Drosophila melanogaster: one gene and its partner. Changing the gene in region 1 together with any one later gene gives a genetic interaction. Each region holds a gene or a part of one and is shown on either strand. Other genes may lie near its edges.

The links.
Region 2: of apt (region 1) and slbo, changing one suppresses a phenotype caused by changing the other (phenotypic suppression), as found in Drosophila melanogaster (one study listed by BioGRID).

Annotation. Positions count from the first base shown.
Region 1 is NT_033778.4:23,594,618-23,610,653, forward strand, and holds apt (apontic), read left to right. Parts: upstream 1-1,974; 5' UTR 1,975-2,130; coding exon 2,131-2,181; intron 2,182-2,274; coding exon 2,275-2,380; intron 2,381-2,442; coding exon 2,443-2,703; intron 2,704-2,766; coding exon 2,767-3,013; intron 3,014-3,075; coding exon 3,076-3,910; 3' UTR 3,911-4,909; downstream 4,910-16,036. Other genes in the region: CG42560 (uncharacterized protein), read right to left, coding at 4,931-5,077, 5,140-5,203, 5,263-5,333; CG42559 (uncharacterized protein), read right to left, coding at 5,441-5,638, 5,697-5,763, 5,822-5,932, 5,988-6,070; IM18 (immune induced molecule 18), read right to left, coding at 6,337-6,552; CG10332 (uncharacterized protein), read right to left, coding at 6,659-6,865, 6,934-7,003, 7,057-7,115; CG43209 (uncharacterized protein), read right to left, coding at 7,392-7,583, 7,640-7,706, 7,757-7,818; Eglp1 (entomoglyceroporin 1), read left to right, coding at 8,100-8,227, 8,283-8,685, 8,750-8,935; Eglp2 (entomoglyceroporin 2), read right to left, coding at 9,218-9,439, 9,776-10,334; Eglp3 (entomoglyceroporin 3), read right to left, coding at 11,141-11,359, 11,424-12,017; Eglp4 (entomoglyceroporin 4), read right to left, coding at 13,216-13,434, 13,515-14,189.
Region 2 is NT_033778.4:24,324,916-24,340,475, reverse strand, and holds slbo (slow border cells), read left to right. Parts: upstream 1-6,168; 5' UTR 6,169-6,705; coding exon 6,706-8,055; 3' UTR 8,056-8,954; downstream 8,955-15,560. UniProt on the Drosophila melanogaster protein: Required for the expression of gene products mediating border cell migration. Among the DNA sequences that this protein binds with high affinity is a conserved site within the promoter of its gene.

The DNA of each region.
Region 1 (16,036 bases):
CATAACTATAAGTAGCCGTAAGAGCTAACAATGCCGGGCTTTATTTTAAGGCACAAGGTTGTGTTTTGTTGCTCCGGTTTGCGCCGTGTGTGTAGGTTCACAATCGCTGGGTTCGAGTAGAGCATGTAGATTCGGTAATTATACTTCGTTTATATTAACAGCCCACAAAAGCAGATAACAACAAACAGTCATACTCATACGCTCACAGACGTAGATGACCAAAATCTAAACCAGTTTGCTTATTTAATTTCAATGCTTAGTTTTGAAGTCACATTGATTGGAGGAGTGTGATTACCTCTATGAGTGTGCGAGCTGCCAGCCCCAAAAGCGGAGTGCCAGCAAACAATCCAATATACATCGCGGATTGACGTAATTTAGTTACATTTCCGAATCGAAACAAAAATGGTATCAAATCGCTTGAGAGATCCTGGAGAGCAGCGCGTTCTTTCGGGCACAGAATTTCACAGTTGGCATCTTCGAACTTCATCTTTGACTAACTTGGCTGGAGCCCCACCCTGGCGAATAATTGGCACTCGCCTCGAATTTAAATGATTCTGGCATTCCTTGAATGCACTGACAGAAACTCTGGCATCTCATGGGCTTGAAAGTACGAGAACCTCCCATTGAAGAATCTATTGATTTCTCAAATCAGCATATCGTTTTCTCTGCGTGTATCTTCCCAAAAGGAGCGGTTTAACCACCCCGCAGCTCATGACTAAAATTTAAACAGCTCCATAATAGTCGGCCGTAATAATTAATTGTTTGCTAATAAATATGAGTTTATATATGTATATAGGAAGAGCTCAAATAATAAAAAATAATAAGCGCACGCGCCGCGTCTCCAATGACTAAGTCTCCTTTCAGTCTTCGAGTACGCGATAAATGCGAATGTACATATATACGTATGTATCTAGATACGTAGTTCGAGTGTACGAGGTACACATACGAGTGCCGAGTATAAGTATAAATTGTAAATCAGATACGGCATAAATATTGAACACATGGCGCAGTAGTTTATACACCCAAGAGTTGTGGGTGTTCGATGGCTGCAGGGGGGGTGGGGGTGGGGTAGTTGAGGGGCACGGAAGGAACTGAACAAAATTGAAATAAAATAAAGCACCATAAAACGTACTTAAGATTGACGATTGTGTTTTTTGGGGGAGCGATCAATGAAAGAGTTTCGATGAAGACAATATATGGCAAGTACAGTTGAGCTCTTTTTTGGATTTGGGCATTCGTGTTGTCTGCAAAGGGTTATTGATAATTCTATGCTCTTCCCAATTTAGTTAATATTCTTTTATTACTAAATTATGAGGGAATTTTTGTGTCTGATTTCGAGACGGGGGAACAATCGAAGGAGCCAGAAAGCGACCGAAGAACGCGTTGAGTAAATGCACATTCTGGAATATTTATATAGTACATTTGAATATATATGTACTTGATTAGATATAATTGGCTGTCAGTATGTCTCTTGATCGCTCCACTCAATCGCACCAATACTCGGATTCGGATACCGAGCAACCGCACAGATACATTTTCGAAACAAACAAAATGTCGGCAGCTGCTTGTTGTGTTAGCTTATAAATTAAAACGCGTTTCATGGCATTATTATTTGATGGTTTTTTACTTTTTTTTTTTTCGTCTTATGGCTGCTCAATTCATTCGATTGTTCGTATATTCACATTCTTTTTAGCCCATTCGTACCCATATACCCCCGATATCGCTCACACCTCCTTCCCCCCCTTCTCCGCTCGGTTCATCTGTCCGCCTGTCTGCTAATTGAAAATCAATTAATGTGACTGCATCCTATAGCTGCTCATGTCAAAGTCAGATATCATCCAGGGTAGGGTAAATTCGATGGAATAAGGGAATGAAAACAAGAGAAGGAATTCAAGACTCAACGACTCAGATTCAGAATCCGAATCAGAATCCTTTTGTTTTCACTGACCTTACTGTCTGAAAACAAAAACCCAATTGATGTGCCCCAAGTAACACTCTGATAATTACCGAAAAACTCCAAATTTTTCGATTGCTTTCGACTTTGGCAGTATTCATCGCCAAGTTCATTGGGTTTTCGAGTGCGTCCCGCGAATCGCTTTCGTTTGGTGCGGAATTTGGCACAAGTTTTGTATGCTCAACTACTGGGAAGGCCAATCTGGGGCTTCTAATTCCACTGTGCGGGTAATTTGGGGACTCTTGCCAGTTACTAGTTACCTCCCAATACGAATCACTGATTTCTCACCTCCTGCCACTCGCTTCTTGCTTCCGTTGCAGGTCAACAAACAGTATTCGGCCACCGATCTGGAGGCTTTTATGAAGATTGCCGCCAACTGGCAAAATTCCAATCACAACTTGCTGGAGGGCGTCGACATAAAGACGGGTAAGTTAAACAAAACGAAGTGACCGTTGAAGGAACTTAATTCAATCATCGAATGCTTGCAGAAATGACACAGTACATGAACAGTCCTTCCATGAACATGTACAAGAAGAGGGAACGCACCCAGAACTGGAACCACCAGGAGAAGAAATACCTACTCGATCTGTGTCGCAAGGACATGCGCATTATCGAGAACAAGAGATTGGATGCCGGTCTGACCGCCGTGAAGAACAAGGCATGGAAGATTATCCACCAGAAGTTCTCCAATCAGTTTGGCACCGATCGCACCTGCAATCGCCTGAAGGAACAGTGGCGTCGCATGAAGGGTAAGTCTTTATAAAATACATATATTTAATGGCAAAGCTAACCTTTTCGATCTCATCCTTTAGCATGTACTCGCAACGAGATCCTGGACTACAATAATCGCCTGGCCAGGTTTGGAGCAGAGGTGGCCGATCGCAAGAAGCCATCTCCGTTCACCTTCGAGGTGTGGGATTTCATGCAGGAGGCGAAGAAGGCATGCAAATCGGAGGCCCTGGATGGCATTGATTACTCTAAGATTCCACTGGCCTTGGAGGAGGGTTTTGAGTATCGTGAGGATTACAAATTCAATCCCGAAGACCACGACATGGATGAGTAAGTTGATCGCTATGTGGTAGTCTGAATAGATCTTTATTGAGCATTCTCTATTTGAGCAGCAGCCGCACACCGCCGCAGGAACTGTGCGATGTGGACATCAAGGAGGAGGAGAACAACGAGACCTTCAACGAGACCTTCAACCATCACCACCTCAACCAGAGCGACATCCTTGGCAGCGGCGAGCGTCTCAGTGTGTCGCCTAATCACAGCATCAGTCGCAACGGGATCCACGAGGCCGAGAGTCCCGCCACGATTTCCACATCTAATGTCCTGGACTCGAGCGGTGCCTATATGGCCGGAGGAGGTGACATGTCCGGCTTCCAGGCCAACTTCAACATGAACAACATATCCGCCACGCTGGAGGCACTGAATGCCCTCCGTTCTGGCCAATTTCCCAGTGCAGCAGCAGCGGCAGCGGCCGCCATTCACCAGCACCAGGCACAGGCCCAGGTCGCCATGCATCACCAGCACAATAACAACAACAACAATAACAACAACAACGAGGACGACGAGGACAGCATGAAGCCGCAGTCTAAGAGACAGCGCACCAGCAGTGGTAGCATGTTGGGCAGCGAGGATCAGGCACCAGTCCTGGCCCCATCAGTGCCAGCATCCTCGGACTCGCAGGCCCTAGAGCGGTCCGGCAGCAGCAATGGATTGACCATGCCGGGAACGGCAGTCAGCACCAATGCCAACAGCAGCAGCAGCAACAACAACAACTTTGAGCTGCGCATGTTCATGGAGATGCAGAGCAAGGAGCACATGATGCGCATGAAGATCCTGGAGGTGCAGTTGCAGGCGGCAAAGCACAGTCGCGACCTAGTGGAGATCAACAAGACACTGGCGCTGCAGAAGCTGCAGTTGGAGCTGGCCAGCAAGCGACTGCCCAGTTAGGAGGCAGTGCAGCAGCAAAAGGAGCAGCAGCAGCAACAGCAGCAGCAGCCCATCGCCGTTTCATGTTACATTAGTTTATAGAAATAAAGCCTGTCAACTCGGTCACGTTCGCAGGCAGAGAGCGTGATTGGGAATCGACTAGAGTTAGCACTAGAGTTAGTCTTAAGTTGAAAGCAGGATCCACAGCTACACATCCAGACCCGACACACAGAGAGACATTCCTGGCATTGTTGATCAGTATTTGAAAGCTAGAAGCGAAACCCGACACACAGAACCGAACCCAAGAACCCCAGCGAGGATCAGGAGGCGCTCGGAAGTATGCCATAATCTTATGATGATGATGACGATGATGATGATGAATCGCCTACCTCACAAGCACACACACACACACACACACAATATGCACACACTCAGCTAGCAGACACACACACACAGACACACTCTCTTCTGGCCTAACCAGCACTTGACCAAGTCAAGTCAAGTTTAGTTAGTTTCTAGTTTTAGTTCGTATGGGAACCACTCTCTCCAAGTTGCTCAACTACCACAAATGTATTGTACTTACGTTCTTGACCTCTGCTACCCCACAACTAACGATTTGAACGAACATGAAATGCACACAAGATTATTTTTCATAGTCCTAAGAGAAGAACCTTATATATGTCAATGCATCATACACAATCGGCAGTTGTCTCTGATTTTGATTCTTACTTGAACTTGTATTTATTTGTATCTTTGTATAGACTATGTTGATATATATATGACCCTATATATGTTTGTTTCAATGCCATATTACATGAAAGTTCTTTTTAATTCATATTTTCCGTTTGCGCTGCAAAACAAATTGTTACCATATATAATATATGATATGTATGTACCCTACGTATAAGCAGGCTTGAAGAAGGCCGCCAACTCGGCTTCAGTTGTCGTAGAAGACTTCTTTGTAAAGCGTGTAAATGAGAGATACAAATTATTTTAAATAAAATACAAAACAAAACAAGCAAATGTTTCAGCTACACTTTATTAATTTTGTTCATGGTTCATCTGTGAGCCTTCGGTCTTGGTTTTTTCCAACGATTGTATCTGCTTATCCACCTTGATGATCTTTGTTGTGACTTCGTTCTTCTGGCTGAGAATCTTTTCTCGCAACGACTTCAGCTGTTCCCGTTGCTGGGTAAATTTGCAATTAAATTTAAATAGATTACTTTCGTTTTTTGAGATCACAAACCAACCAGTTTAAGGAAATGTATGTTCTCCTCCGCCCTGGCTTTTTCGAACAAATGCTTGGATATGTTCCTGGATACAGAGATGCATCTAATAAGCGAAGCCATAAGTGCTCAGAACACGGAACTCACTTGTTGGATTGTGAAAACTGACACATCCTGGGTCGCAACAGTTGGAAAAGCTTTTCGACCAACTTCAGCATTGTATCCTTACGGAGGAAGATAATTTGGAATTTACTATAGTAACTGATGAGGTATTTCAAGGTGGAATATTGACAAACTTAAAAGTGATAGCCTACCGTTTGATAGGTCATTTTTCGAGACTCTTTTTGAATTGCTCCAACAAATCCTTCAGAGCTTTCAATTCCTTTAGCAGATTCTCCTTGTGTTTCCTTGATTTGTGGCTAGTTTTGGATTCCAAAATCTTGATCTCCTCTTTCAATTTGACGATATCATTGGCGATTTCTTTAACCCTGTTCTTTTTTATCTTCATAAATTGCTCTGAGGCCTATGGAATACCCAATTCTACAAGGTTATTCACAACATTAAATAGTTTCGATACATACAAGTTTGAGAACATAGTTAAGTTCCTCGCCTCTGCCCTTCTCGGAAAATTTGTCAGTGAATTGACGTCTATCATATGTAAAAAAAAAATTATTTTTACGGGTCATTTGAATAATAAAATACTTACTTAGCAGGAAATTCGTTTAAATTATTATTCGACCTTGGGTGGAAAATGTTTCTACCGTGGTAAAAGTTTCTATGCCTTGGTAAATTTCTGTGCAACTCATTGGAAGGCCAACTAATATTTAGAAGATTTACAAATAAAGTTTGGATAAATTTCCAGTACTACATACCAAACTCTTTCTTGACATAGCACCTGAGGTTGAAATAGCCTGTTGCACGATGCCGAGCCTAAGATTCGTGCAACAGGAAACATGGCTTCTTAAGTTTAGGATAGAACGAAATCAGTGTGGCAGAAATACATTTTACAAGTCTGAAAGTACAATGTGGATATTTGACGTACGGTCAAAAGCAACTACTTCGATATGAAATTTAGAATTTGCAATAAATTTAGAAATAATTATTACGCATTTTATAAATAGTAAGCAGATGTGTATCAAGGCCATTTCATAAGTAAGATAAGGAAACTGGGCGATTAATTTAGTTTAGGCGTTTCAAATCTTTATTGTTTCATTCTTTACGTCAGGCGTACATAGTCTTCGATGGTTTCCCAATCGGAGCGTCGTAGTACAGTGGTCGTTGCTGTGAGCTTGGAGACCTGAACGGATTTCCGGACCCAGCTCCAGATCCCGATCCGTTTCCTGGTCCAGTGTGGCGAGATGGCGAGGCGACGCCGGGAGCAGCTAGGAAGCCCAGGAGGCCCAAAAGGAGCAGGCAGCACAATGCGATCAGCTTCATGGTTGGCAATCTCAAGTGAATCTGAATGCCGACCTCCGGCAATAGCTTGTTTTTATACGCTGCACTCGTATGCCCTTGGGATTGGGAAGCACCCGGGGGGATTTTGCTATTCGCTGAAATCACCGACTTTGGGTGATTTCTTATCAGCTGGGGGGCGTCGATCAGATTTTCTCTCCTTCCTCTCGCGATTGGAATTCACCTTCACATCGAACTCCATGCCACGGATGCAGCGGGTCAGGTCGGTTAGATTGGCCTCGACGCGCTTTTGCTTGAGTGCCAGCTCATGGGATTGCAGATCCAAGATTCCGCGTTCCTGACGATGGGATTTGATTAGATGGCGCTCGATTTTTGTATCATCTATCTTGAAAGGTAACAACTTACTGTTTGCAGATCCTCCAGTTTTAGTTGATTTTCTATGCGACTCTGATCGGGCAGGACAACCAGATAACTTCTATATATCAAAATGTTATGATTGAATATGTATAATCACAGAATGCAACCTACCTGATGGTGCAGCCTCTGAAGCGGCTGAGAATAGATCTGATTATTGGGTTAATGTCCATGCTTACGAAAATGAAAACAGCTAATTTTGATTATCTCTAAAAGTTTGAAAGTAATTGCAAAGTGTTGAAGATACTTCAAACTGGCAAACTGCTGATATGGAGCTGAAATTCTGCATATAACCACATTTTATAGTTATCTCATTCTTCGCTATGCCAAAAACTATGCTACGCATTCTTGCTGTCCCATAGGTGGCGCGTTGGTTACGCATGTCAAATGTAAAATTACCATCGCCCTTGCCAGTACAAACAAGTTGTTGCAATCATTTAGTTTTATGTTTATTTATTCATTCTTATGTTTCGGAGGGCTTGTTTCAACTCTTTGAGCACTAATATAAGTTTACCCCTCGCAGTCTTCGCCTCGGACGACTTACTTTTCTCAAGGGCTTTGATTTGCATTTCAAGTGACTCGATTTGTGCGGTCAGTTCCATGATCCTTGCCTCTTTTCCCTTGTTCCCCTGCAAATGTTTCTTGGAGGTAAACGTTCTTTATGAGTCATTGAAATGTTTAGTTAGGAGATACTCACAACATGATACGTGTCGATACCGCCACTGCCTCCTTTGTCAAAAAGATCGCTAAACGGTCGTCTCTTGCTGCATGGAAATTGTGGATTTAAGGGAACTCACATTGCGGACGTACTTACCATAGAAACATGGTATCTCTTGTCTTTAAAAAAGTAAGAATCTTATAAGCCCCCCGAAACATACTTTAAGCTCTGCGTCAAATTTGTGTACTTATGCTTTTTTCGTTAATAAGTTTCTCCACGCCAACTAGGTGAGGCAAAAACACATTCAAAAATGGCTAACAAATGATCCAAGTAAACCTAACCCCTCTTGCTTTGCGAATATATTTGTTAAACATTTCCAATATACGAATTCGGTAGGAGAATCAATACTCAGACATACATAGTTAGTCAGTGATCATTTAGTTAGTTAGTTTTTTCCTTAAATTGTCTGTGATACATTACATATTACGGATAATTCACGATGATCTGGGACTTCTTTACCTTTATACGCGGAGCCACCGAGTTCAGTGCCACTGCGCTACTGATTTTGCTCGGTTGCATGGGAGACTCAACGAACCAAGGTGGTGAGAGCAAATTCTTGGTGGCCAGGTGATGCTTAGTGAGATTTCTATAATAGAATATTGTTAAATACTCTATCGTATAGCGTTCACTATGGCCTGACGGTGATGGTGGTGATGCACGTGTTTGGCTTCGTATCCGGAGCCCATTCGAATCCATGCATCTCGATCTCATGCTACTTGATGGGCTACATCGCCCTGGAAGTGATGATGATGTACGTGGTGTGTCAGATGGCCGGTGCTTTCCTTGGTTACTTCCTGCTAATGCAACTGCTGCCCAAGGAGCTGGTGGACAAAAGCAAGCCAGGCATTTGCCTGGTACAACCGATGGACACTCTGTCCACATACCAGGTCGTCATCATCGAGTGCCTGCTGACCGCGGTCCTCGTGCTCGGATGGTGCTCCTTGTGGGACGTGCGAAACGGAAGGTTCCTCGACTCGGTCGCCATTCGCATGGGTCTCCTCGTGATCGCTTGCAGTTTCGCAGGGGTGAGTTGAAAGGCTTTGGATTTTGTATCTATAGATACTATAGCTATATATGCATTTATTGCAGATTCAACTAACTGGAGCCAGTATGAACCCCGCCAAGACATTGGTGCCTGCCATATTCTACGGCAGTCCGAATTCGGTTCTAATGCAGCTGACTGGCCAGATCCTGGCCGCCATCATGGTGCCCTTCGTGTGGAATCATGCGTATACGCCACCTTATAAGCCCTTGGAAATTCCAGTGTGCAACTGAGCTGTGACAATAAACATAAGCTCGACGTTTTTGGCTACCGTGTGGCTTATTTGATCAAGTGTATGAGCAATTAAATATTAACGATAAGCAGTTCGCCGTGGCGTAAAAATAATCTGGCTTAGATAAGCATAGCATTTACATTAGATTAAATATATAGTCGTCAGGCGTTGGAAATTATTTAAGCTATTTATTTGCACGCTTCGCAACTTAAAACTATCCGCTCTCTCCGCTCTCACGAACACGAACTTAAACGATAACTTGTCCTATGTGTAGTAAATCCATTTAGGCGAGCTCCGCCTCCGAGGTCCTCTTGGTTGACATCGTCGTCTCGTCCACCTCCGATTCCTCCAGCTCCCGCCGGAAGGCGTGCTTGTAGATCACCGAGGTGATCAGGGCAGCCGCCATGGGACCCACCCAGTAGATCCAGTGGTCATCCCAGAATCCGTTCCAAATGGCCGGAGCAAAGGATCGGACTGGATTCATACTAGCCCCAGTCAGTTGTCCCTGTTGGGGGATTTACAATTGTTTATTAAGAACATTTTTTTGATACCTATTGATTGCATTTCATGGGATGGCTAAAATGTCTATATTAAAAGTGTATATATGCCATTTAAAGAAAGGTTATCATCGATACCGAGAAAGTCAAGTGCATTTGCCTGATAAATTGAAAACAGATAGTGAATGGAATTTTAGCATAGCGGATCGTCAATTTGATATTTCTTAAGAGCAGACAGTCTTATCTGTATCGGTATTACTTGGACAAACAGACATTAAGGTGGATTACAAAATAAGATATATCTAATACTGTATCTGAATTATTCCGAACAATAATCAACTTACCGCTGTGAGCGACAGGCATGCGATGGCCAGACCAAATCGCACTGGCAGCGAGTCCTGCTTGGTGGCATTGCGGGGATCCCAGACGCCGCAGCACACGGAGATGAGGACGCAGGTGATCAGGAACTCCACGGCCAGTCCCTGCCATGGGGTCAAGGTGCTGTTGAGCGAGGTGAGGCAGACGCCATTGGGGTTCTCAGCGCTGTAGATGGCGCTCTCCGGGAGCACCGCCTTCAGCAGGCCGTAGCCAATGAAGGCGCCCACCATCTGGGCCACAAAATAGGCCAAAGCCATCGGCAGGGAGATCATGTTGTAGACGTAGGTGGCCAGGGTGACGGCGGGATTCAGGTGGGCGCCACACACGCAACCGAAGCACTGGATGCAGATTAGCACCACGAATCCGAAGTTCAGGGCGCTCTGGAAGTCCGAGTTGGTGAACACGGAGTTCTCCACACTGCCCATGCATCCGAGGAACATCAGCATAGCGGTGGCTATCATCTCGGCAAGAACTGTTGTGATGCTGTCCAGCTGGCGGCGCTGCAGCAGCCAGCAGTTGGATTGGCTGCGAAATAGAGAGGAGTATTCCATTTTAGTATTCTTGTGGGTTTCATTGTGTTTAAATTTTTTTGAGTCACTCTTCGAGGATATTTTAGATTTTGATTTTAAGACTTGGAACTTGGTGGATCACCTTGCGGTTGTAGCCATGATTTACGTGCGTCGCGACGAGCGATTGACTTTAACGGAGACGTGGTCCGACGTGGACTGCACTCCAGACCAAGTACTCAATGGTGCGAATCGCATACTCTATCGCCGGCTCTTAATCGCCGGCAATCTCGTCTAATCGCCTTAGGTGGGTTATCAGCCAGCGTTTCTATATACTCATATCTACCCAACTATTGCCAAACATTCGCGTTGGTGTGCTCCATTCACTCGAGTGCGTATGTCCACTTTATGACGTTTTAAGGCAATTCAAAATGTGACAAGGCACTAAGTTAGTGTCCCACTAGAAAGGGGGCTATAAGCCATCTAATCAATATGATTTAAGCCGCCTGTTGTAATGGTTGAAACGCAGAACATTTCATTCGCTATCAAGCTGAGCAATTCTAAAAGGGGCTACTTATCAATGGCCATTGATAATGATTTTCAAAGACCTATGGACCTATTGATATATATGACAAACTCGACAAACTTTCCAGCGAATACGAGCCCCCAAAAAAATGGCCAATATCGCCGCTCATCCCAATTGTATGCTATGGAAATAATACAAGGTGGTGCTTAATTACTTAATCGACCTAAATATTTTGTGGCTCTATTATTACAACATATTCGTATATATATATAGTTTATTCGATAAGATTCAATTCACACCTATTGCACTATAACCTCTCCGATCATTCGTATCTTGGCATCGGAAGTCCTCAGATCGATCTCCTCGTCGCCCTTAAAGGCCATGCGATAGATCAGCGAGGTCACAGCTCCTGCCACCAAAGGACCCACCCAGTAGATCCAGTGGTGTGCCCAGGAGTCGTTCCAAACAGCTGGACCCAGTGATCTGGTCGGATTCATGCTGGCTCCCGTGAAGAGACCCTAAAAGCAACAGACTTCCCATTAAGTAACACTTCGCAACTTTGAAACGCACCGAAATACCAACCGCTGTGAGGATCAGACAGGAGACGGTGAGACCGAATCTCACGGGCACCGAATCCTGCAGCTTGGCGTTCCGTGGATCCCACACCGAACAGGCCACCATGACCAGGCAGCAGGTAATGAGGAACTCGATGAAGACCCCCTGAAGTACGCTGATTCCGGGGGCCAGAATTGTCACACAAACACCCGACGGGTTGTCCACACCCTTGATGGAGTTCCCAGGCAGAACAGCCACCAGGAGACCATAGCCTATCAGGGCTCCGGCAGCCTGGGCCACAAAGTAAGCAATGGCCCGGATCCAACCGATTGCGCCGTAGAGCCAGGCAGCCAGGGTGATGGCCGGATTTAAGTGGGCACCGGAAACGGAGCCGAAGCACTGGATGGCGATGAGAATGGCCAGGCCGAAGGTGAGGCCACTGCGAAAGTGCGAATTCTGGAACAGCGGCGTTTCCACACAGCCCATGCAGGCTATGAAAACGAAGACGGCAGTCGCCGCCAGTTCACCGAAGAAGCAGGCTATCGCACTCCTTTGGTGTCCTTCCAGGCGCCACCTGGCGTTCGGATTGGACTCCTGCGATTTTTGCTTCTGTTGCGACATGCTGACGGAACTCTACTGCCGCAATTTTGGGCGGCTGCCCAAGTGACCCAACGTGCCAGCAAAATTTACGGCAATCAATCAAAATCCATTATAAAACCTTAATGCTAATTATCGAGCGCAGATTTGGGAGCAGCTCCCGCCCACCCATTCAGGATGGATCAATCCATCAAGGCGATTTTCGGGGGGCTTTGCTCAGCCGTAATTATCGGCCTGATAAGCGCCACTGCCATTTCGCCCGATTTGTGCTCAATCTTATCTCATTAAGATCTTTATCGAACGGCGAACGGGGTCGCCGAGACCTGGCCAATACTCGTACTTCTTGTGTGCCAGCCAGTGTCTGAATCGCTACAACAAGGCCAATAAACCTGGCCTATGGTGTTCGAAAGCTACTCGAAGGAATCACCCCGTGATTTCCAGAAATTCCAGAAGAGTGATGCAAATCCAGCATTAGCATATCACCCATAGCACATAGTCCCCTTTAAACCACATAGAACCACATATATCATTTGTGCTTCGTATACGGACTATAGACCCGAATGGAGTACGTAACGTACAATAACTGCATATTGTTGGTATATTTTGGCTTTATTTGGCTGATACGCGCGTCTCATTCGCAGCCTGCTGATAACGTTTTTTAGCCACCATTTGATTGGTCGATTTGGAGGTACTAAGATATTCGAATATCTTATGAACAGATTTTCCAAAGACCGCTTAAGCTGATGGGCTTTTTTCACTTTCGATTCCTGGAAAAAGCTTATTGGTATTTTTAAGCCCGGAAGTTACTTAGAGCTAATCAAAGCAAATACCTCGTTATTGAAGAATGAAAAGCTTTTAGATAATATGGACTCAACATGTTTTAAGATGGCCCAGAAGAGCAGAACTTCAGGTATCAAATAACTACCAATATCTTGTGTAGAATTTCTTAAAACCATAAAAATAATTTACTTGTTTTGTTTTGGTTTTAGATTAAAAATCTCGATGTTCTTTATTTCTGAAGGCAATTAGTGTTTTCACCAAGACGTTTATCGTTTCAAGGGCTTATGTAAGTGTGTGCACTTGGTTCGCCTTTTGAAACGTTCGAGCCACTTTGTGAAGACACTGCTAACATTAGCGTACAACGAATGCATTATTTTAAAATTCGGCATCTTAGATATTAACTAAATTAGTTAGGGCTTTTCCTACAGCAATGTCTTTGGCCTTACGACAGCTGGACGTCCTCCAGTTGCCGCAGCTTCTCATTGGAGGTGATCTCCGCCTCAACCACCTCGCGGCGGAAGACGACCTTGTAGGCGTAGGCGGTGATGGCGGAGGAGCTCAGCGGGGCCAGCCAGTAGATCCAGTTGCTCTCGAAGTGCTTGTTCCACAGGGCGGGGGCGAACGACCTGGCCGGGTTCATGCTGCCGCCGGTGAAGGGACCCTAAAACCAATGGTAGGGAACGAGGTTAATAATCCGTTTCGAGGCAGGTAAGGATTAGCCAACTGTTCGCTTTAACTTACGGCAGCGCAGGCGAGACAGGCGATGGCCAGGCCAAATCGAATGCCCACGGAGTCATGGAACTTGGAGTTGCGCGGATCCCACACTCCGCAGCAGACGATGACCAGGATGGAGGTGATTACGAACTCGATGCCGAGGGCCTGGCCCGTGGTTACGCTGGTGTGGGGCAAGGTCACGCAGAGCCCAGCGCCCACCGTAAGTGTGGGCGAGGGAAGCAGGACCATGAGCAGGCCGTAGCCGATGAAGGCGCCCAGCATCTGGGCGGCGAAGTAGGCAAATGCCATGCGCAGGGTGACCATCTCGTAGATGTAGGCGGCCACGGTCACGGCGGGATTCAGATGGGCACCGGAGACGCAGCCAAAGCACTGGATGGCGATGAGGACGGCGAAGCCGAAGTTCAGCACAATCTGCAGATGGTTGTTGGGAAAGAGGTCCGTCTTCACGCAACCCATGCAGCCCAGGAAGACCAGGATGCCGGTGCCGATGAGCTCGCCGAGGAAGGCGGAGATTTTGTCCAGCGTCGATCCCTTCATTTTGAAGACCTTACAGCAACTGAAATGGTCAGAGAAGCGCTTGAATAATGCCACACTAAAAAGCGAGCTACCCTCTCTGTCGCACGCCATCGTCCATCTCTTTCTCGACTCTAAGTAGACCTGCTTAGGAACTTCATCAATCATATCCTATCTAAGACCATCCTATCGTTTCGCAAAGCCCTCCTCGATTTGCACCTAATCCCCGCGACACACTTCTACAATCTCAACTATTGTGCAACTTTGTAGTTAGTTTGTCAAGCTTCTAGACCTTTGCAACTGCTGTTCTCCTTCGGCTGCCTGGACGATTTCCTGCTGGTTTTCCACCCCTTGCGGATCCATCCCCTGCTGCTCGAGGTTCATTGACTTGGCATCGATTTTCCAAACACCCTTTTTTGGAAGCACAACTTATGCTGCTGATCCGACAAACGATGCCTGCTGCGGGAATGCCATCGATGGCTGGACTGACATGAAGTAGCCGTGTACTAAATATAGTAGACTTGTGATTGCCGTTCGGCTGTCAATTGGGTTTATAGATAAATGGCCGAAAAAATGCGAATCAAATCACGACATGGCCATAAAACAATAACCAATCTTTTTCAACCTTATCGCCTGAGCGCCACTCGAGTCAATTGGAGTTCACTACGTTGCGAATTAATCCGTTTATTGTGATTGGTAAATCCCTCTTTCTGGTAGCCAGAACTCTTGTTTTTTGTTTTTTGAATTTCTTTGGTTTCGAGTGCCAGATAATTACCGAATCTCGTGGCTCATTTTGACACTTGTCCAATTCTTTGAGATCGCACTATATAATCAATCTTTTCCGTAGCTGGTGAAAATTCACAAAGCGGCAGCGCGACTGTCAATGTCAATCTGAGGCGGTGGAGTAGCCATAGGCAAATATTTATATCTGTGTCTATATAATATTGCGTAAATCAAAAGCCCATTTTTAGCCCCTGTGAGAGAGCAGCAACACACACAGATACACACACACACATATGAAGGGGACCGACCACAAGCACACACACACACACACACACACAAAGGCGTGGAAATTAGCGAATCCTACTGGTGAGCATAAAAAAGTCAAGTGTCCAGAATTTATGAGCATCTTAAACGCTCATTCGCTGCTCTCGTTCGCTTTTGCGATTATCTCTGGAGCGATGCTCCTTCTCGCTCCCACTCTTCCTTTACCAGTCACCTGGCTTAAATCATTATAAAATGGTAGAAACAATACGGATGATATTCCATGGAAACAAGGTTAGATATTAACACTTGGTGTGCAACTGACATACTGGTTTTGCTCTATCGAATTCATTCGACTTATTCACAGCATTTTATGAGAATTATAATATTAAAGGTGGTCCTTACATTTGTTTTTTAAGTAAATTATCATTTTCATTTAACTTGTTTCTTACTATTTGTTTGCCATGAGAAAGGCAAATCTGCTAAGCAATGATTGCTAGAATTAGTAGTAACCATAGTTCCTAAAATACGACATTTTCATTGCGTGTCATTCAAACTTAGCACTAAACTGTAATTGATAGCGAAAATCCCCATAATTATTTTCAGTGTAGTTGGTCGGTGGGCGGTGGGCATAACACTGTTATGCTGTGCAAGTGCGTGACGCGCTCGCAATTGAAGCAGGCGGCATATTGCGTATTGATAACAGCAGAGTGGCACACTATCAATTACCACCGTCGCTTCGATTCCTATCAATTGCAATTGCTGCAATTGAGGATGCGTTGCGTGAATCGGGCTACCACGCAATGTGGCAAACAAATCACGGCAAATCTCGGCACGCCTGTCGATCAAATTGCACGCAATTTGCGTAGTTATGTGTCTCAATAACAATTGGATCGTCAATAAATAATAACAATTTAAAGCAAATATTTTCAAAAGCCCTGCTGTTGCACACACACCCAGTACACACAGTGGCTCAGGTGATCAGAACTTTTGACCCTCACTGACCACGCCTAATGTTTTCCATTGCTTTC
Region 2 (15,560 bases), 740 kb from region 1:
GATTTACACACTCAAACCACCGAGCACACACACTCCTTATACAGATGGGCCCGAGATCGGCCAATCGGAATATATCTGATTGAATGCAAGAACGTGGCACATGAGCACATGACTGCGGTGTATGATCGCCGGAAAGCGAGTGGCCAAGAAACTCAGGTGTCTAATTGGGCGCTGGGGTGACAATGAACCACTTAACCAAGCCAGGTCCAACTGCAACTCCTGCTCCTGCTCCAGCGCACTAAGCCAAAAGCCTGAGATTGACAAAGCCGGCAGAGAAAACCGCCAACGCCAGCTCAAAAGTCGAACCAATTGGCAATTGGTACAGGCGATCGCAATGTTTTTGCCTCATGAATAACGCATAAGGAGCAGGGAGTAGGGATTGGATTGGGTTGAGAATCGGGATCGGGATCGGAATCGAAATCAGGATCGAGCTCTGCGAGACTTCGGGGCAATTGTCTGGTCGCTTGTGTTACAATTTAAATAAAATTGCGGCTCCCTGGGCGAAAACAAAAGGAAAAGCTGGGGGTTTTGGCCTTACGATTTCGCTTCTCAGTTCTCTGTTCTCAGTTCTCAGTTCTGGGCATTGGTTTTCTTTTGGGCCGAAGTGCAAGTACCGTTTGTGCACAGGAAACAAAAGCACCGCTACAATCATAAAACGATTAACAGGTCGTGACCGTTTCACCTGATTACCGGTAGTCCGGCTCATTTGCATGCAGGTGGTGCCGCGTCTTTTCACGGTGACAAGTGCAGGAAGTTCGGAACCGCCTGCCCTTCCCTTAACTTCCCCTCCTCCCGAGCACGCGGTTCTAACTTCCTCGCCTTCCGCGCATTTTAATTCACCCAATATTAATTATGAAAATCAGAAGGCAGGCGCAGATGGGTCGGTGCGTGCCTCGCATGGAAGTGGGCTCCTCGAGGCACTTTTGGCCAAGTCGAGCCCAAAGCCCAGAACTCAGAGTCCAGAGGCCAAAGGCACTGGAGCTCGGGGCCTCTACAAATTAGAACAGAATTATCCCACGCATCTCGGATAATGTACGCGAAATACTTGATCGATTGCCAGCGATCTATGGTCGCTTGTACTCGGTCTCCAACTGACAACAACGGCGGACAAGGAGACGGGAGACGGGAGATGGAGGTGGAGGCGGAGGATCGACGCAGACGGTCCACTGGCTGAGGCCATCAGAACGGAAAGCAGCGGACTGCAGACTGCAGACTGCAAACTGCCAACTGCCAACGGTGGAGCACAGCAGCTTGGGATCTGCGGATCGTCGATGGCACAACAAATTTCAGCGCGTAGAACGGTAACTTATTTTTTCCTCCCTGCTAGCTAGGGGGTATGTGGGGTAGTTTGGACTGGAGCACCACACTACAATATGAAACATCAATTATTACTAAAAGTTAGAGGAAATCGCCTTTACCAAAATATCTAGCAAGTGATTCAAGTGACTCGTCCAGCATTCTGGATGAGTTTGGAGTTGGGATTCTGCAACAACTAGCGAAGATCATTGAACTAAAAGGTAGCCACCATTCGATCTGCCCATCTGACTGCGAGCCACTTATTGTCAAGCTGCGCAGCAACCGAAGGGGGATTGGGGGGATCGGGATTCGATCCAGCCGAGGGAGTTGGAGGAGGAGGCTCACACAGCGATGTCTCCAGTTTGGCTGTGATAAAATGTGCGTAAGTGATCAGTTGGAAGAAGACGACTCGGGATGGGGATGGGGATCGGGAACTCGGACTGAGATTCAGACTGCCAGTGCGACTTGGGGTTAAAATTCCTGGACTCGGCGATGCTTGGCGTTTTTTTGTGCTGTTGCTTTTCAACTCTCTCGGCACTCGGCAGCATTTTAAAATTACAAGTATGTAATTTTGCTGAAATCAAGCGCTCATATGAAAATTCCACTGGCAGTGCAGAAGCTGTCGATCGATCGCCCGATCGATCTCGTTCTCGTTCCCGATCTCAAACTCGCGGGCAATTGTGGGGCATTTTTAATTTGTGCCCGGCTTTGACTTTTGCCTGGAAATCAGAGCAGTGGTCGGAGTCGCCTGGAAGCGGACTGTGCGACCTTATCGCGCCCACTGTGCGCAAATGCACAAATGCACAAATGCACACACAAAATGTCAATTCTGCGCACGTCGCTTCACCAGGCATCCCAATCAGTCGTGCCCCGGCCACTATGCGGCCCCCCAATCCCCACCAGAGTCCGCAAGGGGGTGGACCAGCGGACTCTGGCCAGGCTCCTTGGCCTCTGGCCGGCCTGGCAGCTCGTCATCATTATCTCTGCGCTCTGCCAACATCACAAATAATATGAGGAAGGCACAAAAAGGCAACACAATCGAGGGCCCAAGAGCCGGTCACTCACTGTTGGCCTGCAAATAAACTATTTCAATCAATGCGTTTGTCGTCGGGCCATCGATCGCATGCCAAAGGTAGTTAGGCATCCCATAGGATGAGTTGTGGGCTCATCGGGCTGCTTTTTCGATGTATTTTCGAGGATCGGGCGATGGGCAGCATGGAAATGGGCGCAAAGGTGAGAGGCGAACAATAAATACCAACGCTCAGCTTACAATTTACTTAAGAAATTTCAAAAATTCCCTCGGATCGTATATAAAATACTTTTGTTTTTATCAATACTATACATAAGTCTTTTTACCTAATATAAATGATTAAAATATATTACTTGCCGTATTTTCAGATTTTGAATTGCATGAATTGGCGCCAACTGACAAGCAGGTCACCTTTCCCAAGCAGTGCACCATATACTCATAACTTCTTGCCTAGATGGCGCCACATAAGTTATCGGAGAACTTTTAAGCAAGCAGTATACCTATCGATATAAAACTGCTTTACAAGCGCTGCTTAAATTCAAATTCAAATTGTTCAAACGTATTTTAACTTTCTACGCGCCATTTGCTAATAGCTTTGAAAATAAGTAGTAAGTTAATATATGCTTAAGTTTTACATAATTTTTAAAATAGATTTTATTGTTATAAATATAATTACACATGGACAACAATGAAACAAAATGATGTTTTAAAATTTGATTAGATTAAAATATAATAATTGAAATATTTGTTATTTTTGGTTGAACTCGATGGCTCGCGCGTTTTATTCTCACGCTCCTATTAATTGGCAAGACTTTTCTAAGCAGCGGGCAGCGAAAAGTTTTCGCCGAAGAGCCGACTTTCATTGCCGAATCGCCTCGCATCAGCACTAAATATTATTAATTTCTGTACTCATCAGCACACGGCGACAGGGAACGGGCTCGTTTTCTGTGGAAGTAGAGTCAGAATTACAGAAGTGAAGCGCAAAAGCACGAGAATCCCCTTTGGAAAAGAGTTTGGGGTCGTCGAACTGGTTGCATTTAAATGGTGTTAAGTACACTGCAATTAGGTGGAAACCACCGGAGTTTTGGCTAACTGGGTTTTGTGAAAAGTATGAACTTATCTGCTGCGATGAGTCAATAAAGAAGCGTACTTATGGAATTAATATCTATTCTATCAGTACAAAATTCACCGCACCAAAACAAAAAAGCTTCCTAGAAAGGTCTTTCCTATAAACAAGGCCGTGAGAATGAAGCGAGTGTGTAACCCAACCCCATCGACTCGAGTTCACTTCGATTGAGCTCGGATTTGAGGAAGTGCAGAGTTAAATTGGCTACGCGTCATCGAGATAAGTTGACTGCGAGTGGCGAATAAAATGAAGACAAAACAAAACACAACGCCGTCTAGAAATCATTGGCCAAAACTCCCAATTATGGCCGTGTTTATAAACACAATTCAGTCGGAGTTTCGCATGTGTCAGACAACTTTTTGCAGAGTGCAACGAACGCCAGTTGTGAATTGTGAATTGTGGCCGCTACTCGTATTTGTTTTGTTTACGAATTCGCGGCTTTTGGCCGTCTTATCAGTCGTTTGCCAAAATATATAAATAAAACTCTTAGGCACTTTGCGCGTGGGCGTTGTCGACGGCAGATAAATACGCCTACAATTTCCCTTTTGGGAAAACGCTGAAATGGATCAAGGTGATAAAGAGCTGCTTATCTGCTAGACTTTCTCCAAGTTTGGTATCAATGGGTAAATATCTATGATTTATGCTAGCATCTCTATGAATACCCTACTCAATTTTAAAAAGTGAAATTACTGGGGGCCAATGGTATTTGCGTTTTTAATCTTATCAGGGCTAACACCTTCTTGTTGGCCAAAGGGCTGGTATTTATAGCCAGTCCACCTACTTGCTAATTTGAAGTGTTTTTTTTTTAAATTTATTTTAAAAAATTTATGCTTTCAAGTTTTTATAAATAGGTAACTTTAGGTAAGCCTTGGACGATTCCAGTTAGCAGGAGGATAAGCAAATAAATAAATGACTTTGCTTTGCTTTAATCCCATTTAACCAGTAGTTTCTCCATAAACAATCTGATAAGATAAGGTGCACATGGATCGATCTTGCCTCATTTAAATTGCAGATTTCATCACCTTTCCCATCGATCGATATGGAATCAGTTCTTGGGTAACCAGACCGCACAATGCAATCCCCCAAGAACAATAAGGGTGCGTTGAATGCGTTTTGAAATACACCCGACCAGAAGAATATCTTTGTGGACGCACAAGGAAGCACTTTTGCACAATCTCGATGCAGTCATCGATATCGGCGATATTTCCGATTCGCTGCAATAGCTTGACTGATAAGCGAAGAAAAGTGGCTGTCCTGTCATCGACAGCGGAATACCCTCTTATCGTGCAACGGCGCACGGGGCGTATGATTAATAAAGTCCGGGTAAACAAAAGGTACATACACGAAGGCAGAAGACGGGGGCGAGAGGCGGGGCCGAAAGCAGGGGACGCACCTTCGGAAAGTAAACGACAACTTGACCCAAATTGCAGACTCGAAAACTCAGGAGAGTCAGCAGAGTGAGCAGAGTTAGCGGAGTGAGCACCAAGCAGAAGAGCGCCAATGGGGGAAAAGTGGAGAAGGCGACTTCACAAATCGCTGCATTTAAATAAACAAAACTACGAGCCGTGCTAATTTTTATGAATTTCATAACACAGTCTTAATTTTAATAAGACGTCGCTGCCTATTACGTGAAAGCTCCGCGATGCGTTGCGCTTCCACTGCGCAGTCACGCATGCGCGCCAAAAACAGGCCCCAATCCCCAAGCCCCCAATCCCCCGATCCACCAAGTAACTGCACTTCTGTGTTTTTTTTTGCTTTTCTGTATTTCTAAGGCGCAAAGCGAGTCGAAGCCCAAACACAAATCGGAGTGGGCAAGGCCCCAAAATGGGGGTCGGGGGTTACGCAGCGGAGTGCCGGTGTGTGCGGGCGTGGTGTTGTTGCTTCTCGCTGCGGCTGTGCGGCTCTTCTCCCAAAAAAAGCAAAAGCGACGGAACCGAAAATGAAAATGAAAACGAAAGCGAGAGCCAAGGAATAATGAGCGCTGGCTGCGCTGCCGACGTCGCGCGCTGCTGGTGTCTGTGCTCGCTTGAGCTTGTGTGGGTGCCTTGGGGCTCCCTTTTGTGTGACGTCACGCGATCGTGCGTTGCATTGAGTTTTATCATGAAATTCACTGCATCAGCGCATAACTAATACTGGATTCTAGGATGGGGTCTTAATTAAACAATTAATATCTAAACTAATATCTAAACTAACTTATGTGGAACATGTATAAATGTAATAAATTCTATATAAAAAATGTAATTATCCTATCAAATATGATATTAAGTTCCGGAAACTGAAGAAGTATCTCCCAGCTTCGTACCAAATGCACTTTGCTTGCATTCGTGCTTTTGGCCCGCACAGCAACCACAAGAATGGCCCAGTGAATTGCCTTGCGACGAGAGTAAAAGTGATTGGGAAAACTCTTGCTTTTTTACCTGATCGCGGCTCTCGCTCTCATCCACAGGTAGTTGCCTTTGCCTTTGCCTGGCTTACTTGTGCTTTGCCTGCTCTTGCTTTGCTTTTGCTCTGCTCGTGCTGTGCTGTGCTGCTGCCGCCTTTGCTTTGCTGTAACGGCGACGGCGACGGCAACGCTTGGGGCTTCGGTGTGGAGCGGTACGAGTGAATGTGTGTGTGTGTGTGTGTTACATGCGCTGGCCGCTCATTTTCTTTTTCTTCGGCTGCGTCGCTGCGCCAAAGACTTTTTCACTTTGCCGCGTTCGCGTTCGCGTTTTGTCACAGTTACAATTTACCACTCGTCGGCGACGGACGCGCGCTCTCCGCTGGCCAAGAAAATCCAAATCGAAGAAAAGCTCGCTCAGCTAACGGTTCTTCAGGAGCGTTTCTAACACCAGCACACGTACGTGTACGAGTACGAGAGTACTAGCCAACGGCAGTCGTCAGGCCGTCTCGTATAAAATCTGTTGCATCACTGCCGCGGCACTTCAGTCGTTCGAACGCGTGCGGCCGGAGAAGTGCAGTGTCGAGTTAACAAAGTAAACAAACTGAATAAAACATTTTGCGCTAAGAATCGGAAACATAATAAGCAATAGTACGATGCTCGGCTGCAGTGACCACCCAGGCAGCCTAAGATGAAGCATACGGAATAGCGAGCTATCCGAGTCGAACATTTCCAAAGACCCACTTCTTACCTCAGTGCAATGCTTTAGGCGCCAAACGAGCAAAAGTTTATTCCCAAATCTGAACTCTAAAAACAGCCAAAATTAACGCTCTACAAGGAATCAAGATTCTACCCTCCTTCGCGCAACTGAAAATGCTGAACATGGAGTCGCCGCAGATGTACGCCGATGCCGTTCAGACATTGGCCCAGCTGGACCTCAAGAAGGAGCCTCCCCTGCAGCAGGCCACCATTGGCCAGATCACACTGACGGCCATGTCCACGGCGCAGCAGCAGCAGCAACAACAGCAGCAGCAACAGCAGCAGCAACAGCAGCAGCAACAACAGCAGCAGCAGCAACCCCAGCAGCAGACTACCGATGCGAACAACAACACGTCGCAGGACGCGGCACTCCTGGTCAAGCAGCACGCCATGCACCAGATGCAACAGGTCGCCGCATTGGGCAGCAACAACAACCTGCTGCAGAAGCAGATGCTGCAGCAGTACTCCACTCAGACGGACCTGGACGAGCTGACCACCCAGGAGATCACGCTCGACCTGCAGCACCTGATAGACGACCAGTTCAGGGACACGGAAACGCTGGGCATCTTCAGCGACATGGTGACCAGTCCGGGCGGACTCTCGGCCACCCTGCCGCCGAGCGGAATGGTCTCGGCGGCGGCGAAGGTCCTGCAGCAGCAGACCCTGCGGAACCAGCACGGCTACGGGGGCAGGGGAGGCGGTGGCGGAGCAGGAGGCGCCCTGGCCTACATGCCGCAGCCCGTGCACGCCACCTACAACAATTCCAGCGACGAGAACAGCTCCGTGGGCTCCGACTCCAGCACGATCAAGGAGGAGCCCATCGACCCCGAGTACAGGCGGCACCTGCAGGAGGCGGCTAGCCAGCAGGCCGCCTTCATGGGCAATGGAGCAGGCCTGTACAACGGCTACGGATCGGGGGCGAATGGCTTGACCGGGGGCGGAAACCCACTCAACGGAGGCAACACCACGCCCAGCAGCAACGGGAGCAACGGCAGCACGGGCAGCAGCAACGGCAGCCAGTTCACCAACCTGACGACGGCCAACGTCCTGGCGCACCACAACCTGCCCCACCTGGCGGCCGCAGCAGGAGCACACAATCTGCTCAAGCAGCACAGCAAGCTGCACGCGCAGCAGCAGCATCAGCAGCACCAGCAACAGCAGCAGCACCGCAAGCACAGCAACAAGCATGTGGACAAGGGCACGGATGAGTACCGCAGGCGGCGGGAGCGGAACAACATAGCGGTGCGCAAGAGCCGGGAGAAGGCTAAGGTGCGCTCCCGCGAGGTGGAGGAGCGCGTGAAGAGCCTGCTCAAGGAGAAGGACGCCCTCATTCGGCAGCTTGGTGAGATGACCAACGAGCTGCAGCTACACAAGCAGATCTACATGCAGCTAATGAACCACGCCAATCCCGAAGTGAGCCGCGTCTGCCGCAGCTTCCTCAACACCAACGAACACTCGCTGTAGCCGCTGCCAGCTAAAGCCAGTGTCCTGCGAGTTCTGTGTGTGCGTGAGTGCTTGAATGCTTGAGTGCTCGTGTGTGTGTGTGTATGAGTGTGTGAGTGCTCCAGCCGTAAGTGTGTGCGTGTGAGCGAGACTCTGCTAAATCAAAGATACAAATGCTGTGTGGGTAGCTCGTAAGGTTCATTCTCCTCCTGCTCCTCATTGTCCTCTCTGGCCGTAGACGATGGAGCGGTCGCGCCAAGTTGGTGGGCCGCTGCATCGCTTGGAGACCAAACTCTTCTGCCGATCGCTGTGGCATTCCTTGTACATTTACTCTGTCCCCATTTCTTGTTATCACTGTAAAGCATATTTTTGTACTTAATTCTAATTCTTAACGACTGTAACATATATATTTCGCACGTTTTTATACATAATCTTATACATTATATCTATCATAAAGTTAAGCCAAAGAAAAATGTTAAAAATATTAATGTAAAAAAGAATAACACGCAGGAACGAAGAACGAAAATACAAACTTCAAAACCTATTAACTATTTATACATCTAATTCAAATGTGTACAGTTCTCGACGGTGTGCGGCTTCGCTCTATGCTTGATGCCACGCCCACTCCCACGCCCAGCCCTGCTTGACACACAACATTAGCAAATCTCTAGTTCGTAAGTCGGAGAATCAAGCATCGCTTTACCTGCACAATCCCCAGAGGAAAGCCTCCCGAAATCAACCAACTTGTAGCGAATTCCACGGGTTCGCTTCCGAGAGCGTAGAAGATATGAATGCTATTAATTGTAAGGCAAACGCAATGTTCTCATTTTAATTTATATATTCGTAAATTAAATATACACAAACAAAGAAAACTGTAAAGCAAATCTAAACAAATTAAATAAAATTTACCTTATACAAAGAATCGGCTTGTCGTGCGTTTTGACTAAAACCCAAATGAATTTCAGATAACTTCTTAATTTCCACAGTTCAACTACCAATCTGCAATTAGCCCTAGCCACAATTTGATGCAAAAGCCCTGCCAAAAAGTGTCTAATTAAATGTCGGCCATACTTGGGCGACAAAACGATACGCTGGGCGAAGACCAGAAAGAGACGCACCACCACCGCATTGGGAGGGCAGGGTCTTTCTTCTGTCCGCCGTCTTCTGTCTTCGCTGTCTTCGCTGTCTTCCGATGGGACAAATACGACAAGGCAATGCATTTCGGGCTGCCAGGCGCGACACTGGGCCAATTGCAGGGAGGAAGGAGGGCGAAGTGGAGGACCCCAGACAATCGCAAGGCGGCCGTGTTGACACAATTTGACAGTAAGACAAACCCGAAACGAAAAGCAAATTTATAAACGACAAAGCGAAAAAGAATTAATGCAACTCGAGAAACCGACAAATTAACGCGCCAGAGAAAGCCCAAACAAAAGCCACAGAGCCACGGAGCCAGAGAGCCAAAAAACGCATGCCGACCTGGGGCAGATAATCACTTACAGACATTTGGGCTCGGGCTAAGCCCTTTTGGTCAAAACTTTCTTTCCATCCGTATCTGTATCTTGGCCAACTGCTGCTGCTGCTGCTGCTGCTGCGTGCGTCCAATTTGTCTAGCTGCATTGTTGAGCACTTTGATTGATGAAAGCTAATTGCGCATGCACTCTGGGCCCAAAAGTGAAATTGCTTCGAACTTGTGGGTGTCGCTCGGTAGCCACAAACCGCAGCCACAACCGAAATCCATCCCAATCCCATTTAAGCCTGACTTTGATAAGGGTTCTAAGCAGCTTACGGAGAAAGTTCGCCCCCTGCAGCGGGATTCCTGCCGAATGCCGAATGCATCTGCGTTTTGGCAAGCGCTCAGAAATTGCCGCACAATTACTGCCCAACTAGGCGCCGCGGCAACGAGGCGTATGAGTTATGAGCGGCGGCAGCGAGAAGTGATAAATTCGCGACTCGCAACTGCAACGGGCAGACGAGGCAGCAAACACACTTCTTTCTGTCTCACCTGTACGCCGCGCTGATAAATGCTAATTGCCGCCATGAAAGAAGGCTGGGACACTTAACGACGGGCAAAGAGATTTATGAAGGAATTAATAAAGATTCTATTAAGTATGACAATAATTAGGATTTTATAAGATTAGCATCAGTTTTTTATTCGCTTACATATCCAAACAGAATATATTGAATCATATGCCAAAGTAACTGGATATCAATGGAATCAACACTAATCACAGATACGATGTTGGGTTACATGATCGAGCTTAAGCTTGGCAGATTGGACCTCCAATCAGCTTCAGCTCCAGCTCCAGATCCCGGTTTCAATCCATCTCGATTCCGTTGTCATCCAATCCATCTTTCACACTCCAGTTCCACTTCGTCCGCTCCGCATTGTTGTGGCTCCAACATCTCGACTTTAGCTGCAGCGACTATAAAAACCATAACGGAAAAAGTGGGTTACTTCACTTTTATTTTCGTGCCGCAAGAAACAGAGAGATAGAGAGAGAGAGAGAGAGAGGGAAGAGTTCGAGGGAAAGAGAGAGGCAGAGACCAACTTTACATCTATTCATCTATCTCTATTTTTCTTTTTAGCACAGATTGAGTAATAGTTAGTTGTTTGGCTTATATCTTAGAGCCGGGCTTCGTTCCCTCTCCTTTGTGCTGCCGTTCGCCTGGCAACGACGATCGTGTGGCCAACGCGGTGGTTTCACTTTCTATGCCGACTCCGACTTCGACGCAGACTGACTTTTGCTATCTAATACAGCCGCCGCAACAACAATGGCCCATCTAGCTCCACTCGAAGAAAAGTTGAGCTGCAAAAGGAGAACCAACTGTCATGAATATTTTTAAGATATTTGAGCACAAAGTATTTGAATTTTTCCTGTGCAAGTCAAGCTCCTGCCACCTAAAATATGCAACATATTCACTTTAGCCCCTCTTCTCGCAGTGTAGCACCACAATCTTTTTCTTCGCGCTTTGTTGTTTTCCCTCCACAATACATTGACTATTTTCTTTTCGACGACGCCATACGCCATACGCCATCATGTTGGACCGATCGCATAGTGTAAAAGCAGACTCGGGGAGCCAGGCTAAAAAGCCAGCTGAAGCTCTGGCTGGCTGAGATTCGGCTCCGCTCTCGTAGGAACGGCATGTATCTGCGCTTGTATCTGTATCTGCATCTGTGAGTGTATCTGTGGCCGAGTGTGGGGGTTATGTAATGGGCCAAGCCGAGTGCTGTTGTTGCTGCTTTAAAGATGCCTTTTCTTTTGTTGGGCTGTCTGCTCTGCCTGATGACCAAGTTAAGATATTATGTTCGTTATGTTGCGCTTATTAACGTGGCCCACAAAAATTGTTTAGCGTTTTGTTTTGCCTAAACGAATTTTCCGTTATAAATCAAGCGAGCTACGCGAAATAGAGACATTTGCTACGATGGCCAGATGGTAAATCATCGAATAGATTGTGCAGCCACAGCGACCCACAGCGAAAATGATATCGCATCCCCCCTTTCGCCTTCTCCCCAACTTTCCTTACGCAACTTACGTCGAGTGGAAATGCTATCCATCCATTTACCTTCTCTCGGTCCAATCAGTCGACACTGCCATTTGAAACAATTACGCAGCTCCAGCGCACATTAAAAAGAAATAAGTTTACGCGTAGTAAAAGTATGTATGCAAAGTATGTATTTGGGAAAAAGTGGCCCACCTTAGGGGAATATTAAAGCAGTTTATGTGCCTACTTGGCCATTAACACTTAAGAAAAAGGGCGGAAAGTAAAAGTAAAAGGGTTAACATCGAAGGAGTTTTAATCTCCACTAACTAACTAACTAATCGTGGCTTGTAGCGAGAAACCTAAAATGCAGAAGCCAGGAATTCCCCTACCGTGCGTAGGGAGTAAATAGTTAATAGAATATTATAAAAATATAATCACAAATACAACCAGGTGCAACGATGAGTGGTAATTCGAAGTGAATAGAATAAAGGCCAACCAAATAAAATAGCAAATCAAAAGAAAGCGAGAGGAAGAGGGCGAGACACAACAAAACCGAACCAAACCAAAACTAAATCTAAACCACTCACCCAAAGACCCATTGGCCTACTTTTCTTACAGGCCCAGCAGCAGCAACAATAAAAATATAAAAAATGCTAGAAAATAATCTCAACGCCAACACACGCACACATGGCTAATCAAGGCGTATCTGTGTGTTGGTGCGTCCAAATTTACAAGGGGCGCCCTTTTCGAAAAGTCAAAAAAACGAAGTCTTCCAAGAAAGCTGCGCGCGCTTCTATTTTCAGCTGCGCGTTGGCGTCGCCGTCTTTATCAATCTTCCGGGGGGATGTGGGGGGTGTTGTTGGCCTTTAAGGGGCAGGGGAAGTGGTACGGGTGGCGGGCGGTTACTTATCTTAGGGCAAGACCTGCGTCCGCTGAGCGAAAGAGATGGCTGCCGAGGCGAAGGGCCAGACACTTGTTGCAAGCAGAACGCCCCACCAAAAAAAAAAAAAAGAGAAAAACAGAGCAGCAACAACAAATTGACCCAATTTTGAACATTTTTCCTTTACTGCACACAGATACAAACGACGGCATACAAACAAACCCAAATATGCGCCCTGAAGTCATAAAGAAATATGTACACAGAGAGAAATGACCCATAAGTGTGTACTTTCATACTATTTTTTGGCAGGTTATAAGGCTCTCAACTTAAAGAAGAATTGTAAAGTTATTATCTTGTTATTTATTGAAATAGTATCTGCCCTTTTCTCTCCGTGTAAATGCGGCCAAGTGTGTATGTAATGCTCCCTTAAAATTGAATTGTTGTTAATTGTTGTTGCTGGTGCTGTTTGTTGTTTGCTCGGCGGCATTGCTGAGTTCTTCGCCGGGGGGGGGATTGGCTGGGGGATGGGGTGGGGTGGTTTCGGGGGGTTGGGGGCTGCAGCAGCCCAACACCAGAATTCACTTTCAATTTTTGGGCTCTTTTTGATTGGGCGCATTGAAAGAAATGTTCTATGCTGCAGGAACAACAACAGACAGAGCAACACACATTTTCTTGACTTTGGGAAAAGTGGGTCAGCAGCTGTAAAATAGACTCCACCAGACTGGGCCTCCACCCACCCCCTCACCCCCCTTCCCTGAGCCAATCATGTCGGAAAAGAGGAATATGTTTGTGCATTTGTGGCGGTGGAATGTGTATGTCTGGATATGTGTATCTGCGATCTGACGCTGTTTAGACGGTGTCTATTTCCCATTCGGTCTTCCTAGCGCTTTTCCCCTTCCGGCCGCCCAGCCCCTGCCCCGCCCCTTGCCATTCGCCCACCCGGGGCCCACTGTTAAGTAGGTCAGCACTTATGGCCCGATCCACGAGCAGTTTTCATTATCATGTGCAGCTGATGATGCAGCGACGAGGCTGGCAAACAAAAGTATCTTCGAGCATCGCCAGTGTGTTGCAACTTCGGCTAGTAATGGCAAAAAGAAAATAAAAGAAACGAAACGCTTTTTGGGCTTTAATGTCTAAACAATGCTGCAGCAACTTCATAAAATGTGTCTTTCCATACGAAAGGAGATAAAACAAACTGGGAATGCTTCTTTAAAGCACTGGCATATTGATGGATCTCTACCAGAAACACCAAGCAGTGGAATATACAAGCTATTGTAGTTAGATGAGGATATAGCTCCTGAAAAGAAAGAATCCCATGCCTTGGGTATCCGAGGGATAAAGTATCTTAATTTAAACTACATGCCATTCATAGAAATACGAAAGATACTTGCGTATCTCTGGCCATTTCTCGAATTTGTCATTGCCGCTTTGGCTCTGCAGGCCATCCCCAAAGTTCTCGAGTCCGAGTCCATTTATTTTCGCATAAAAATAGCACCAAAAAAAGGTTCATTCCTATCCACAGAGAACAATGAGATCGGGCATAATACTCGTATGTGTGGTTTCTGGTTTTCTGCGTCGCATTTCTCATAGCAGCCGCCAAAATGCCAGAAAGCAAGAGGCCGCGCGGACTGCCAACAAATAAATAAATAAGTGAAATAAAATGAATTACATTTGAATGTAATTAGTATGTGTACACAAATCTGCAAACTAGTCGTGAAATCATGTGTTGTATATTATGCTCAAACATGTCAAGATCACAATACTTTTCATATCACTGCGATTGGGGAAGTGGAGCGTGTTCTTTGGCTCCTCGGTTTTCGAGATGAGGAACTCGGGACATTGTAAAGGGAAAATGTGGTTAACGATAACAAAAAAAAAGGTTGATTTGATTGCGGGAACAATAAGGTTTGTTTGTACTGCACAGTGTAAGTGGGTCAATTACTTGATGGCTTCCTGTGGGCAGGCACTTAGTGATTCACAGGTGTGAAAGTTGAGTTACTTTCTTAGGATGGTGTGTCCCTGAAGATTTCGGTTTCTTCGCTCTTCGCTTTTTGGAAACCAGCAACTTGTTGTCTTTGCCTTTCTGGGATTCATCCTAAATTTAAAATTAAAATCTAATTTTAGAGTGATTTTATTAACGCTTTTATGCTAGTGCTAGTTGTATGTTGTTTAGGTTGCTTCCTATTTCATTTCGTGTGCACTTGATTTTGGCGCCAAAATCATAAGCCGCAGCCGCCGAGTTTGCAATGCCATTGCCTCATTTCGCCGGCTTGAGCTTGAAAGTAAAAGTGGTTTGGCTTTCTTTTGTGGCACACGCTTTTGGCGCTGCTTTCCAACCACTTTGGTTTGGGTGGCCGCCACTACCACCGCTACCACCACTACAGTACAGTACCACTACCAACACAGCTGCAGCGGCTACGACGACGACGACAAGTTGCCGTGTTGCCGAGTCCAAGGTCAAGAGGAAGACTTTGAAAATGCCCCAGCAATGTGGTCGTGGATATTGCCTCTGCCGCTGTCGCTGCCTCTGTCTCTGCCACCAATTTGGATGAATAATGCAGGAGACTCCCAGGTGAGAGTGAGAGTTTTGGCGGGTAGGTGGAGGGGAAGCCCAGGTATCACTGGCTCTGAAGATCGGGCTTTGTCTGCTTACCGTTATGCGGGCCAGTTCCGGTTTACGACTGGTTAACTGGTTGGACGGAGATGGCGATGGAGATCGGATCCGATGAGAGTCGTTTTGGGGTCCCATCTCGAAATGTAGTCCATGTAACTGGTACAGCCACCGATGACGCAGGCGACGACGAGTTTGGGGCTTTGTGATTACGCGAAGAGCAGAAATGATGGCATCAAAAGCATTTCCATTTAGCTGCGGTTACCAGCTCATCTCACCTGTTGTCGCCTAACTCCGAGCTTCTTCGTCTCGCTGCGTTGTGCGTAGTTAATAACCGTTAACGGAACTGCACCCGCAGGAAAAATGGCTGATGTTCGGGTCTCCCATTTCATTTCATTTCATTTCATTTGATTTCATTTTGGCTAAAATAAAAGGGGGAAAGACAACAATTAAGCGAATCTGTTGCAATCGGTTAGCCGAACTAAAGAAAAATGCATAAGCATAAGCGTATGTAATATTATTACGATTATATTTTCGGGGTAGTTAAGGCCT